Mus musculus: one gene and its partners. The protein of the gene in region 3 purifies or fractionates together with the protein of the main gene of each other region. This does not show direct contact. Links are inferred from orthologs where the notes say so. Each region holds a gene or a part of one and is shown on either strand. Other genes may lie near its edges.

What was found. The genes of interacting proteins can lie anywhere in the genome.
Region 1: the proteins of Khdrbs1 (region 3) and Plcg1 purify together in Homo sapiens (affinity purification with western blotting; 7 studies listed by BioGRID and IntAct, with this or other methods). This does not show direct contact. The link is inferred for Mus musculus from reciprocal best matches to the Homo sapiens genes KHDRBS1 and PLCG1.
Region 2: the proteins of Khdrbs1 (region 3) and Lck purify together in Homo sapiens (affinity purification with western blotting; 5 studies listed by BioGRID and IntAct, with this or other methods). This does not show direct contact. The link is inferred for Mus musculus from reciprocal best matches to the Homo sapiens genes KHDRBS1 and LCK.

What each region holds. Positions count from the first base shown.
Region 1 is NC_000068.7:160,748,024-160,752,627, reverse strand, and holds part of Plcg1 (1-phosphatidylinositol 4,5-bisphosphate phosphodiesterase gamma-1), read right to left. Parts: intron 4,595-4,604; coding exon 4,501-4,594; intron 4,347-4,500; coding exon 4,299-4,346; intron 1,666-4,298; coding exon 1,581-1,665; intron 1,486-1,580; coding exon 1,402-1,485; intron 1,193-1,401; coding exon 1,158-1,192; intron 996-1,157; coding exon 923-995; intron 845-922; coding exon 743-844; intron 541-742; coding exon 422-540; intron 334-421; coding exon 248-333; intron 175-247; coding exon 54-174; intron 1-53. UniProt on the Homo sapiens protein: Mediates the production of the second messenger molecules diacylglycerol (DAG) and inositol 1,4,5-trisphosphate (IP3). Plays an important role in the regulation of intracellular signaling cascades.
Region 2 is NC_000070.6:129,548,824-129,553,427, reverse strand, and holds part of Lck (proto-oncogene tyrosine-protein kinase LCK), read left to right. Parts: intron 1-1,403; coding exon 1,404-1,480; intron 1,481-1,557; coding exon 1,558-1,711; intron 1,712-1,791; coding exon 1,792-1,923; intron 1,924-4,427; coding exon 4,428-4,604. UniProt on the Homo sapiens protein: Non-receptor tyrosine-protein kinase that plays an essential role in the selection and maturation of developing T-cells in the thymus and in the function of mature T-cells. Plays a key role in T-cell antigen receptor (TCR)-linked signal transduction pathways.
Region 3 is NC_000070.6:129,738,962-129,744,365, forward strand, and holds the start of Khdrbs1 (KH domain-containing, RNA-binding, signal transduction-associated protein 1), read right to left. Parts: upstream 3,343-5,404; 5' UTR 3,200-3,342; coding exon 2,818-3,199; intron 1-2,817. UniProt on the Homo sapiens protein: Recruited and tyrosine phosphorylated by several receptor systems, for example the T-cell, leptin and insulin receptors. Once phosphorylated, functions as an adapter protein in signal transduction cascades by binding to SH2 and SH3 domain-containing proteins.

The sequences.
Region 1 (4,604 bases), on a different chromosome or scaffold from region 3:
CTAGGAGTAAAAGGACCTTCTGGAGGCTGCCCGTGATCTGCACGCCTACTCACTCTGAGGCTACGAAAGCATGCTCCTTGATGGTGTGCAGGACGTCAGAGAACTTGATCTTGGTGGTGAGAGTGTGCCCATGGTAAATGACTGGCATCCCATCTGGCCCATCCCAGCAGTCCACTAGAGAACAATATCACACAGTCAAACAGGCAGGCCTCTCACCTTCCCTCTCCAAACCTTAGACCCAACGTACACTCAATGCAGCGACAGCCCATCCTCAGGCAGCGAGCATAGGCTTCCAGGGAGGACTCACTGGAGAACTGGTCCCCAGTCAGGTACCTGGATAAGCAAGGAGAGGTACATATGGTCTGGAGGGCCTTCCTCCCTCCTTAGGAAGGGTTGGATGAGCAAAAAGAGGCTTACTCACGTATTATGTGAGGAGGAGATCCAATAGTGAGAGAGTGGGTTGTTCATGGTGTCCGGGCACACAGCATCCAGCTGTGAGTTCCACACGCTGTTCTCTTTGGAGAACAGGAAGGTGACAAGCTACAAGGATAAATGTGGAGGAGAAAGTGAATGAGTGCTGGCTGCCACTTGGGATGGAAGTAGGTACAAGAATGTGCTGAGTCTCGACTCCACTGGCAAAGTAGGCAGTAGAGTGCATGCACAGCTTTTAGAGCACAGGTCAGCTCTGGTCACCCACCCCACCTGCTTTCTCTAACAGAATGGTGGGAAAGGTGAGGCTCACCTCATCCAAGAAGAAGTATGGCTCCTCAATCTCTCGCAAGGGGTCTCGAAGGAAGCTGAGCATGAATTCCTGCACCTGGAGCCGGTCGACAGCCCACAGCTCCTGCCAGGTAAAGAAGTCATGGAGGAGGCCACCAATGATGAAGCCACCCTGCAGCCTAACTCCCTGGCCCAGACATACCCCCTGGTATTCAAGGAGGAACTGCTGGAACTCAGAAAGGGACACCTGGCAATGCTCCGGACGCTCTCCAGTCCTGTAGGGAGAAAACCTAGTGTCTGGCACTGGCTGACAAAGGGCCCCCGTCTAGTGTAGATACCCAGTGGTTTATTATGCCCCATCCCCATCTACCCACTGCTTCCCACCTGGATCTGAAACCACCCAGAGAAAAAGCCCAATTGGCTGTTCCAAACCAAACCTCAAAGCGTTGGTTTCCAAGAAGGGAAGGTCCATCTGCAGAGAACAGAATCTGGTCAGGAGGAGCCCTGGGAGGCCATGCAGGAAAGGGGCTCTTAAGAAAAGGCTAGGGAGCAGATGCCCCGGGGGAGGGGTGTGTGTGGCTAGAGTAATGGCACCAAAACCACTCCAAAGCAGGGCAGCAGGGCTATGAGAGAAGGCAGAGGAGTTGGGCCAAGGACAGGGAGGGTGGGAGGTTCATGCACCGTCTTCTGGGCGCTGTACATGAGGCTGCGGTACAGCTGAGCAAACTGCCCGTAGGTGATGTCCCCGCTGCGCTGTTCAAGGTCCTACATAGTACAGAGCAAAACTGCCAGTCAAGCCCCTTAGGAGGAGTCACTGGCCTCCCCTTCCTTGCCAGAGGATAGCCCCAAGTGTCCATTACCGTCAGCCGCTCTCGGAGGAAGCGCATATTGGGGACTCGGTAGTTGACCTGAGACAGCATGTTCTTCAAGTCCTTGGCTGATATACTAAGGGGAGAAAAAGGATTCCCTTTTGACTTTAGGCTGAACCTAAGGATGGACAGGTAAACACCTATACTCTGGGAACCTGCAGTCTTAAGAGCAACACTCTTTCAAACTTCATGCTGTGCTAGATGGAGCGAGTTCCTGCCTTTCTCTGGGCCTCAAGTTTCTGCAGTGAAAGAGAAAAAGCCCAATAGCCACAAGTGACCAAGCTCAGGAAAGCAGAGGAAAGCAGGTCAGGCTGGGATGGGAGGCAGAATAAGCCATTTCCAGCAGTTGCCCCCAGCTCTGATCTGCTGCCTGTACAGGGCAGGGCAGTGCCCACTGCCACTAACGGAGGCATCCTAGGACCCACAGTCCCCAGGATAGGTAGCAGGGAAGGGAGCGCGGGCACCCTTAGCCATGTGTAACTGCTGCTGCTGAGCACACTCCTGAGGCTCCAGGAAAAGAACTCAGAGAGAGGGACAGAAGGGAAGAGAGAAGAGGGAGAGGAGAGGGAGACAGAGAGAGAAGAGAGCATCAGCGCACTCTACCCTCTAAGCATAGCAGCTTGGACAACAACAGGATGAAAAAGCTGGAAAAGGATGCTCTCCTGGGAGGAGTGGGTGCTGGAGAGAGAACACACCCTCTTCTGGCCTAAAGCCAGGCACGAAAGACCAAAATTCCCTAAGGCTCGGATCTTCACCAATAATTGAATGTCCTGGAACAGGTAGTTCCCAAAGTAATGCTGCGCCCTTTTAATACAGTTCCTCCTCACGTTGTGGTGACCTCCAACTAGAAAATTATTTTATCACTACTTCCTAACTGTAACTTTGCTACTGTTATGAATCCTAATGTAAATGTCTGCTGTGCAGAAAGTCTTAGGTGACTCCTGGGAAAGGGTCATCCAACCCCCCCCACAGGGGTCGAGACCCACAGGTTGAGAACCAATGCCCTAGAGTCAAGGCTCTGCGGGGAGCATTGGGTCACCTGACCCTCAGTCAGCCAGGAAGCTGCAGTCAAGCCTGTCTCCTCCCTTTCCCGCTGTCATAAAAATCACACTGCTCTCTCCACCCTGCCCTGCTTAATTCTGTGTTTGTTGTCCCTTCCCCTCTATGCAAAACTCCTTTTTTAAGAGTATTTATTTATTTATTTATTTGATGTATGTGAGTACATTGTTGCTGTCTTCAGACACGCCAGAAGAGGGCATTGGAGCCCATTACAGATGGTTGTGAGCCACCATGTGTTGCTGGGAATTGACCTCTGAGTGAGTGCTCTTAAGCGCTGAGCCATCCGTCCAGCGCTATGGAAAACTCTCACAAGACTCACCTGCAATCTCCTCTGCCCCTAAGCTGCTCACCACGGACTGAAGCTGCTTTCCCCACAACATGACTACTCAGAAGGGTTAAGCATACTCCTCCTTTCCTAGCTTCCCATGTGGAAGCAGTCTGCAGCTGCCACTTGGCCTCTTCCCTTTTCTTGCTATCTGGGTCCCTGAGTTTTTATCTGGGGACCCCAAGAGTTTCCATTTCACCTGTCCACAGTCCTGTGTTACTACCTCCAGCCCGACCTCCTCATTTGAACTCATTCTACCAGCCTGGTAACTCCATACCTCTCTACCTGGGAATCTATTATGCACCATAAAACTTACATCCATACTGGACCCTAAGCTCCCACAGTAAGTTCCTCCCACTGTCTTCTTGTCTCAGCCAATGGCAACTTTACTTCCCAGTTGCGCATGTCAAAAGCCTATTGATCTCTGACTTTTTAGATGCAATTTTAAACAAAGAACATAGCCCAAATCCAGCTAATTCCTACTATTATTACCTCAACCTGAGCCCTCTCACCTACACCCAGAATGGTCGGACAGTGTCTAACAGCCCTCTACAGCAGTATGATCTTGGTTGTGTTTGCCTAGTTTTATGTCTTCTTGACACAAGCCAGAGTCATCGGTAAAAGAGAGAGCTTCGATTGAGAAAATGCCTCTGTAAGATCCAGCTGTAGGCAAGCCTGCAGGGCATTTTCTTAATTAGTGATTGGTGTGGGAGGGCCCAGCTCTATGTTGGTGGGTAGGGACACCTCTAGGCTGGTAGTCGTGGACTCTATAAGAAAGCAGGCTGAGTAAGCCATGAGGAGCAAGCCAGTAAGCAGCACCCCTCCATGGCCTCTGCATCAGCTCCTGCCTCCAGGATCCTGCACTGTTTGAGTTCCTGAGCTGGTTTCCTTTGGTGATCAACAGCAACGAGGAAGCCAATTGAAGCTGAATAAACCCTTACCTCCCCAAGCTGTTCGTTCATGGTGTTTCACTGCAGCAATTGTAAGCCTATGTAGGACACTGGGGAAACTCTAGGTCAGAGCAGGTCACTCCTCTACACATCCCATGGCTTCCTGCCTCTGGGGGACCTTGCAACAGTACAAAGCAGCACTGACAGCAGGCCATCTGGTCTCTGCTTCCTCCAGCTCCTGGTGCTCTGGCTGCATTGCCAGTTACACCTAGAAGTCCAGCACTATCTCTGTACCCCACGCTCAGCAGCATGGACTACTTTTGTGTCAGAGCCCCTAACCCCTCCCAATGTAACTCAGTTCTATGGACCCTCTGGCTCCAATGCTCTGGGTGCCTCTACCCACTGGTTAGGCATCCGCCTCAGCTTAGCACCTACCGATCCTCTCGGTTACGATCCACTGAGTAGAACTGCTTCCGGAGCCACCTGAAGAGAGAAAAGCCTGAGGTAAGGGCCTCTTCTCAGCTAAGGTAAAGCCTGGGTAGAAGAGAAGTTACCGTGTGCCCAGGAGACCTGAAGTCTCTGTCTCTTCCCTTGGTTCCGAGATGCACAGTTTTAACCACATGAAGACGATTCTTACCTCTCAATTTGCAGGGGTGTGGCTGCCTGCAGTGTATCCTCCATTAGCCAAGTTAAGCCCTTGATCCACATGTTCACTTCATCCTCAGATGTGGCTGTGAGCAG
Region 2 (4,604 bases), about 190 kb from region 3:
AACAATAATCTGTGATAGAGAAAGTCAGGTCTCTGGGAAGAAGACACAGGCATGAAGCATGTCAGCTTTGGCTGCTGTGGAGATGGGGCTCTGTCTTAACTGGAGGCAAGAAGCCTCTGGATCCTCTGCTCATATCCCAACCTAGCCCTCTGGAAAAGGCCATCCCATATGCTGAGCATCCCCTCCTTGTGCACAGCATCCCCCTTGTGCACAGCACCCCCCTTATGCACAGCATCCCCCTCTTTTGCACAGCATACCCCCTTGTACACAGCATCCCCCTTGTGCACAGCACCCCCCTTATGCACAGCATCCCCTTATGCACAGCATCCCCCTCTTGTACACAGCATCTCCCTTATGCACAGCATCCCCCTTATGCACAGCATCCCCCTCTTGTACACAGCATCTCCCTTATGCACAGCATTCCCCTCTTGTACACAGCATCTCCCTTATGCACAGCATCCCCCTCTTATGCACAGCATCCCCCTCTTGTGCACAGTATCCCCCCTTGTACACAGCATCACCTCCTTGTGCACAGCATCCCCCTTTGTGCACAGCATCCCTCCTTGTGCACAGCATCCCTCCTTGTGCACAGCATCCCCCTCTTGTGCACAGCATACCCCCTTGTGCACAGCATCCCCCCTTGTGCACAGCATCCCTCCTTGTGCACAGCATCCCTCCTTGTGCACAGCATCTCCCTTATGCACAGCATCCCTCCTTGTGCACAGCATCCCCCTCTTGTGCACAGCATCCCCCTTGTGCACAGCATCTCCCTTATGCACAGCATCCCCCCTTGTGAACAGCATCCCTCCTTGTGCACAGCATCCCTCCTTGTGCACAGCATCTCCCTTATGCACAGCATCCCCCCTTGTGCACAGCATCCCTCCTTGTGCACAGCATCCCCCCTTGTGCACAGCATCCCCCTCTTGTGCACAGTATCCCCCCTTGTGCACAGCATCTCCCCCTTGTGCACAGCATCCCCCCTTGTGCACAGCATCCCTCCTTGTGCACAGCATCCCCCCTTGTGCACAGCATCTCCCCTTGTGCACAGCATCCCTCCTTGTGCACAGCATCCCCCTCTTGTGCACAGCATTCTCCCTGTGCACAGCATCCCCCTCTTGTGCACAGCATCCCCCCTGTGCACAGCATCCCCCTCTTGTGCACAGCATCCCCCCCCCTTGTGCACAGCATCCCCACCTTGCACAAGCATTCTCTTCCCTTGCTCACATCATCCCCCCCTTCGACCCCCAAGCACACACTTTTTCTCAGTCCTCATTCTTCCTTGCCACGGTCAGGCACTGCTTCCAGATCCTAGGTGGATCCTAGGTGGATCTAGGTGGATCTGGAAGGGTCTACGGGCTTCGTCCTGGGCAATTTAAGTCAACAACTCTTGCTTTTGCTCACAGGGAGCCTAGTAGATTTTCTCAAGACTCCCTCGGGCATCAAGTTGAATGTCAACAAACTTTTGGACATGGCAGCCCAGGTAAGGAGCCGGGCAAAGGGCTGGGTATGGCTACAGATCAGTGGGGTAAGGACTGGTGACCTATTCCTGGCCTGCAGATTGCAGAGGGCATGGCGTTCATCGAAGAACAGAATTACATCCATCGGGACCTGCGCGCCGCCAACATCCTGGTGTCTGACACGCTGAGCTGCAAGATTGCAGACTTTGGCCTGGCGCGCCTCATTGAGGACAATGAGTACACGGCCCGGGAGGGTAGGTGTGGGATAGAGAGGAGGTTCATGGCCAGCAGGAGAGCAAGCACACACAGGGGGACTAACTTTGCTTCTCTCTAGGGGCCAAATTTCCCATTAAGTGGACAGCACCAGAAGCCATTAACTATGGGACCTTCACCATCAAGTCAGACGTGTGGTCCTTCGGGATCTTGCTTACAGAGATCGTCACCCACGGTCGAATCCCTTACCCAGGTGAGCTTTCCTTAAGACAAGCAACTCTAAGTCTTCAAGGAAGGGGAGCCAAGCCATACCTTCCTGCTCACCTCTACCCAGGCTCAGACTCTGAAACTCTGAGTTGCTTCTCTCCCATCCACTTGGGCCTGTGACTCCGAAATCTTCTGTTAGATGCTTCATTCCATCTCTGCCTCTGAGTCCCCACACTTCTCAAAAACTCCAGTTCTTCCTTGCTTGGTTATGGCAGAGGCCACCTAGTATGTCAGAGGTGGACAGGAGGTAAAGGTTTCTCTGTTTGGCCCTGGCTGTCCAGGAACTCACCATGTAAACCAGGCTGGCCTCAAAACTCAGACATCCATTTGTCTCTGTCTCCAAAATGCTGGGATTAAAAGTGTGCCACCACTGCCTGACCTCCAGTTTCTTAATAGGAGATCAGAATAGTGCTTAGGCCACACTAAGCCATTACTAGTCATTACTCTGGGTACGTTATGTTGCCCTCTGAGCCTGTTTCCCCATACATAGAACAAGAGACTTTGTGAAACACTTGCATGGGAGCTGCTTAGTAAGCACTGGTGCTTTCCTACTGAGATGTCACAGCTAAAGAGAGAAACCATGTAGATCCCTCCTTCTAGGAAAGGCCTTTATCCCGATTTTATTGAATGTTTGTTTTTTAGCCATTAGGTTGTTTTTTTTTTTTTTTTTTTTTTTTTTTTTTTTTTTTTGGAGACAATGTCTTACATAGCTTAAGCTGACCTCTAACACTCTATGAATCTGAAGATGTCCCCTGAGCTCCCAGTATTCCTGCTTCTGCCTCACTGGGAGGTGCTTGTATTACAGCAAGCATGTGCCTATGTACCTGGGGATCAAACCCAGGTCCTGTGCACGCAAGGTAAGTGTGCTGCCCCTGAGCCATGCTTCTAAGCCTGGGGGTGGGATTTTTCTAGAAGGAATTTGATAACCTCTGTGGAAAGAAAATGCCACAGAAAATAGTAGGAGGTTATAGAGTTCAGAGGTCAGATTGGCAGAAACTTCCCACAGGCCCAGGGCAACAGGCATTGAAATTTGATCCCAGGAATGTAAAGGCACTTTGAATCTCACAGTTAGAGGCTAGAAGTGTTCCCAGCTCTGGGCTTGTTCTATCTCACAGCCCAGTATTCATCTCCTGTGCTTAGGCCCAAAAGCTAGAGATACCTCAACATTGCCCTGGCTGTGGGCTCTCATCCCATCCTGAGCCCTGACTACCCCATCATTGCCATCAAATACGAACAACCCCAGGTACACCTTATAAAAGAACACCCCTAGTCAGGTACCTCTTATATACACTGATCCTTCAGTCCTCGTTAAAACTCGGTGATTCACGCTATGCCAGAAGAGGAAGCCGAGGAGGTGGCCCAGTCAAGGTCCTGCGGCTGGCATGTATGTTATTGAGTGTGTGTAGGCACTATAGGTGTGGGCCTGACATTCATTCAGCAGGAAATGCTAGTGTGCCTTACCTTAATGAAGACTAGCATCAGGTTGGATTGGTAGTTCCATATTCTGAACCTTACCTGTGTTGGTCAGCATTCCATTAATGAAAACAAAAACAACCAAAGACTCCCGAGACACTCTCAGGTGACCCAAGCTTGGGTGACTTGCTGAGGAAGCCTGATGAACCAAGTTCAATCCCCGGTATTCCTGGAAAGGTAGAAGAAGAGAACCTGCATTCATTCATTCATTCATTCATTCATTCATATTTTTGATTTTTTGGGGACAGGGTTTCTCTGTATAGTCCTTGGCTCTCTTGGAACTCACTTTGTAGACCAGGATGTCCTTGAACTCCCAGAGATCTGATTGCCTCTGCCTCCTGAGTATTGAGATTAAAGGCATGGTGGCCTGACTGAGATCCCATACTTAAAAATTGTTGTCTGAGGGGGATGGGGAGACTGGAGAGATGGCTTAGTAGCTACGAGCACTGGCTGCTCTTCCAGAGGACCTGGGTTCAGATCTCAACACCCATAAAGCAGATTACAGCTGTCTGTAATTCCAGTTCCAGAGAATTTAGTGCCCTCTTCTGGCCTCCTTGAGCACTGCACACATGCGATATGTGTACATGGAAAACACACTTATAGAAATAAAATTTTAAGCTGAAGATGGTGGCACACACCTTTAATCCCAGAAACACATGAATCTCTGAGTTTGAGGCCAGCTTGATTTACAGAGTTCCAGGACAGCCAGGGGTACACAGAGAAACCCTGTCTTGAAAAACAAAAAAAAGAAAGAAAGAAAGAGAGAAAGAAGATAGATGGATGGATGGATGGATGGATGGATGGATGGATGGATGGATGGATGGATAGATACATAGATAGATAGATAGATAGATAGATAGATAGATAGATAGATAGATAGATAGATAGATAGATAGATAGATAGATAGATAAAATAAGTAGGAAAGAAAGAGAACTGGAGTCAGTTTAGCATCAGCCTTGCTTTTGAGTTTCCAAAGATTAAAGTCTTGATGTTTTTTTCTTCCATCAACGTTCCAGGAATGACCAACCCTGAAGTCATTCAGAACCTGGAGAGAGGCTACCGCATGGTGAGACCTGACAACTGTCCGGAAGAGCTGTACCACCTCATGATGCTGTGCTGGAAGGAGCGCCCAGAGGACCGGCCCACGTTTGACTACCTTCGGAGTGTTCTGGATGACTTCTTCACAGCCACAG
Region 3 (5,404 bases):
GATGACACCGCAGTCTTAGTCAATTTCACAGGACCAAGTCACTAAGGGTCACTCTCCAAAGTTAACATCTTAAAATTGACATAACTCTTCAGCAATTAATCTGACAGGTTGTAAAGATTTGAGGAAATAAAAATAAGATTAGCAAGTCAACCTCTACCATAATGGTATTCTTCAGTCTGCAGGTACTTATTCGAAGTGCCAATCAAACACAGGTGTTTGCTATTTGCAAGCCAGTATGAAAAAAATATAAAAAATAATGACCCAAATTGTAAATCAGTTAGTAGAGTACTATGTCTGATCCTAGGCATTGCACAAACTGAGTGTGGTGGGGCTCACTTCCCAAACCCTCGAGGAAATGGACCACAAATTCAAGGTCACCAGTGGCTATACAGAGAGTACCCAGCCTCAGCTACTTGAGACCTTTTTTTTTTTAAAAAAGAAAAAAAAGGAAAAAAAAAAATCAAAATTTTACTAAGTTGTCAGAACAAAAGAACAGAAACGTAAGAGCCCAAGTATTACAGAATAGAGGTACCAAGCTGACATGCACAGAGTTGATGTTTCTATTCACTGACCACAGGTTTTGTTTACTGTGCTTCAAAGGCCCTTATTTGCTGTTTTCATATTTGACTGGAAAGAAAAGCAGGTCTTTAAGTCATTGTAGATCCGTGACCTTTTTGCATTATACAAACGGTAAATCCCCTTCAACAATGCTGGGAAACAGAGAGCAGATGAAGGGAAAATGGTATATTCCTTTTATTTCTTTTCAGCTTTGTATTTTGAGTACCTGTGTAGGACATAAGATAACATCAGGCCGGTGGTGGTGGTGCATGCCTTTAATCACAGCACTTGGGAGGCAGAGGCCAGCCTGGTCAACAAAATGAGTTCCAGGACAGCCAGGTCTATACAGAGAAACCCTGTCTCGAAAAAACAACAACAACAAAAAAAAACAAAGAAAACAGCCGGGCGTGGTGGTGCACGCCTTTAATCCCAGCACTTGGGAGGCAGAGGCAGGCGGATTTCTGAGTTCGAGGCCAGCCTGGTCTACAAAGTGAGTTCCAGGACAGCCAGGGCTATACAGAGAAACCAAAAAAAAAAAAAAAAAAAAAAAAAAACCACCAAAGAAAACAAAAACAGGATCCCCCAGTACTGAAGTTACAGGTGTCTGAAAGCCTTCTGATGTGGGTGCTGGGAACTGAACCCCTGTGGAAGAGCAGACAGTGCTCTTAAAGGCTGATTTGTCTCTCCATTAGATAGTGCTCTTTCACAATGAACTGTCCACGATATCGTTCTGGCCAGAGTGCAATGCTCTGTGTACTGGACGCTATCAGAGGAGATCTGGGGGCTCTGGAGCATTGCTCTCCAAAGGAGAGGGGGGAGAATTCTGAAGCTCTCAGGCAGTCTTTGATGAAATAACCTTTATTCCTTGTGGCTAGGGTCTAATATACATTTTGGGGTGGGGTGGGATCTAAAAGCAGATGCTTTCTATTGGCTTGGTCGGAGAAGTTAGGGATGCTACATCTGCATGTGGAGGGAGGGCCTTCAGGTGTTGGGGGGGGGGTTTAACACCCCGTGTGACTGACTCATGGGGTGTCTTGGTCAAGTGTTCCAGGTTCAGAGTAGGGTTTCTGAATCCGCTCAACCTTCCCAGTTTTTGTCTGGTGACAAGGTTCCATCAGCCCCTCAACAGTCCAACTATTCAACCAGTAGGACAGACTGTGGGTATTAGATGCTTAATAAAAATTAGATATCAGCCGGGCAGTGGTGGCGCACGCCTTTAATCCCAGCACTCGGGAGGCAGAGGCAGGCGAATTTCTGAGTTCGAGGCCAGCCTGGTCTACAAAGTGAGTTCCAAGACAGCCAGGGCTATACAGAAACCCTGTATCGAAAAACCAAAATCAAAAAAAAAAAAAAATTCGATATCATAAAAAATACTAAAACCATGTCTAACAACAGGCGGCGGTTTGAATAAGGAAAAATATCTAAGTCGCTCAAGTCCGGAGAAGAGAGCTCCATAGTCTACAATCAGAGAACAAAGACTACCATTCTTAAACTATCTCTACTCCAGCAAAAACTAAAACAAAAAGACCAATTTCTCGTTCATCTCACGCAAAAGAACCTGCCTGCCGCCCCTTACCTCCCTCTATCATTTCTTTCTACGGTCTCCTGGGCTATCACAACCCCCCCCCCACACACACACACACTTTTGCATAACTTCAGAAACACATTTCAAAATAAAACAGAGAAACCATCCGGGTCTGCAGCAATTCTTACTCGACAGGCCGAAATGGAAAGCTTGGCTTGAGAAAACCTCAAGCTCACGGATTCTCTCGTCGCCCCGACCTCTAATGAACTTAAACCCGAGTTCCCGCTAAATCCCGCCCCGCTCCGTAGATGCGCTGTGCGGGACCGGCATTCCGGCTATCTCTACCTTACACCCCAGGTCTCCATCACCCGCGATTCCCCCCCCCAAATGTTTCCTCTTTGGGAAAGCGGGGAGAAATAGGTTCATTTCTGTTAAGAGCCGGCCCTTGGCGCGCGGGGCAACTACTACGGGAGGAGAAGGGGGCGGGAGCACGGTACTATCCATCAAGCTCTCCGCGCTCTGAGATCGCGAGTCCTCTTCGGGCCTCGTCCGTGGCTCAGAAATCTTCCCTTACACCCTGAGCCCGGGTGGGACTGTGGGTGCAGAATCTCGAAGGCCAGGTCGAGATGACAACTCTCGATGCCCGGGCTCCGAGGGGGTGGGAGCAAGAACAAAGCGGCGGCCACCCACAGTCAGGACCGGGAGACCCAGAGGACCCGCCAAGAACCGCTTACCTACGGACAGCAGCTGCATGGCGTGAGTGAAGGACGGGTCGAGCGAGTCCTTCTCGGCCATGAGTTCAGGCAGGTACTTATTCTCCGGCTCCATCTTGACCGCGGCTGTGGCTGACGGGGGCAGCAGCGGGGTCGGCGCGGAACCCACCACCGTCGCGTCGGGACCAGGGGTGGAGGGAGGCAGCAGCGGCGGCGGCTGGGTGGCGGGCGAGGCCCGAGCGCCTCCTCTGGGCCCACCTCCCCCTCCCCGGGGCCGGTGAGGAAGCGGCGACGGCCGAGACGGGGTCAGACGCACCGAGGGGTGGGCACCTGACGGGTCCTTGGAGCAGCTGCGGCCCGAGGACCGGGTGAGGCGCGAGGCAGGATCGTCCCGGCGCTGCATCGGGGATGATGGGTGGCGAGCGAACGAGCGAGGAAGCGACGCGGCGGCAGCTGAGGCCCGAGCGGCGGTTGGCGGGGGTGGAAGAACAGGAGCGACAGCGACCGAAGCCGACCCGAGCGACCCAGCGAGAGAGCACCGGAAATGAGGCGGCGCGCGTGCGCAGGCGCCTACCGGCACCGCCCTTGAGTTTCTCCGCGGAGAACAAAGTCCCCAGTTGGACCACGGCGCCTGCGCCGACTGAAGACGTCGCCTCCCCGCTTGGGCTCCGAGCTTAGGGCGCCTGCGCGGGCGCCCGCCGCCTTCCTTCATTTCTTTTTCTTTTCCACGTGACCCGGCGCTAGCGGTACACGTGTCTCCCCTCCCCCTCCCCCGGGCGGAGTGCGCGGAGGGGGCGGGCGCCGTGGAATGTCTTTGTCTGCGCTCGGGCCCGCGGAGTGTGCGGCAGGAGACCTGTTATTCGTGCGCCACGCCTCCTTCAACGGCCGAGCCTGGGGAGGTCCCCGAGGGAGCGGTGCCCCGGAGTGGAATCGGGGGCCGCCCCTCCAACCGGGAAATGAAAAGAACGCTTCTGGAGAGAGGGGGACGCGAGGGTTAGAGCCAAGTGAAGCCGGAAGAGAGGGAAAGACTGCGCGAGCGAACGGGATGGGAAGATGGGGATGCGGGCGGGCGTGGTGGGAGGGAGGAGGCTGACCCAGAGATAAGTGATGAGTGTGCGAAAGGGAAGCCAGGAATGGGGAATGCTGTGTGTTGCAGAACTGAAACTCAGAAGGAGTCGAAGGGGTCAGTCAGAGACGCAAAGACCGGAAGAAAAGGGCTCCCTCCATACCCAAGTAGGGCATCCAGGAAGTCAGTCGGCAAGATTTCCATTAGAGCAGGTTCAAAACTAGTGAGAGAATTATTAAAAGATGCATTTGGGGTCGGGTCAACTGGTAATGCTGCTTATCACCTGTTTTTGGAGTCCCCGGCTTGTTGGCTTGTTCCCCACCCACTCATCCCCGGTAAATTCCAAATTTTCTCTCTCTCTCTCCTTCCAACCCCGCCTACTCAGAAAGCCTCAGAACACAAAAAGGCGCCAAAAAATCCAGTCCTGAATTCCTGACTGTACTAATCCTCATCTTTAGTCACCAGCCACCCAAGCCCCACCCTAGATGACCATACCTGGGCACAAGCCCAGCTTGTGGTAGACTTGTCATTTTCTTCGCCTACAATCTATCAAAAAAGTACCAGCCATACTCTGCCCCCGACCTCTGAGGCTGGTGGACTCACCCGGGAACCCATTTCCAAATAGATATGCCTTTTTAAAAAAAATTATTCTTGAATTAGCTTATTTCGTTGGGGGTGGAGGGGACTATTATCAACCTGAGTTCTAGCCCCAGGCCCAAAATAGGAGAGAACCAGCTCTCCCAAGTTTTCTGACCTCTACTTGCACATAGAGGCCTTCATGTCCAGCCATACTAAGGGGATGAGGTGGTTATGCATCCTAGCGCTGAGGAGGAAAAGCCACAGAATTACCTCATGTTTGAGACAAGTCTGGCCTACATACACAGCACAGCTACAGGCCACCTAGGACAGGCCACCCTGTCCCCCAAAAACAAACTAAGAAGCATCTTATATTAGGTCTCTGACAAACTGCAGTCCTAGCACCTGTTAGACTGAATTGTTTTGTTGCCACCTTCTGTTTATTCTGTAAAACGGTGACTCCAGGGCCAGTCCTTAGCCCATGTTGGCTGCCTAGTTCTCAGAGCTCCTAGTACTCCTGCTCTGAATGCTGGTCCTTCACAAGGGATCCCCCTGCACTCTTTCAAAAAGACAAATACTTTCATTTTTCCTTAACACGTGTTTTCACTGCAGAGTCAGTGACTCACTCTCTAACCCAGAGTGGCTTTGAACTCAAAACAACTCAGTCTTAATCTTCAGAATACTGGAATAACAAGACATAAATCACCATGAGACAGATAGTACTGCTGTAAGGACCAGGGCACAGTCTCTAAGATCTCTTCATCCTAGGGTACTGTATGCAGATGGAACCCAAATTAAATCCCATTAAAAGTCTGAGGCTGGGCTGGTGAGATGGCTCAGTGGGTAAGAGCACCCGACTGCTCTTCCGAAGATCCAGAGTTCAAATCCCAGCAACCACATAGTGGTTCACAACCATCTGTAACAAGATCTGACACTCCCTCTTCTGGAGTGTCTGAAGACAGCTAC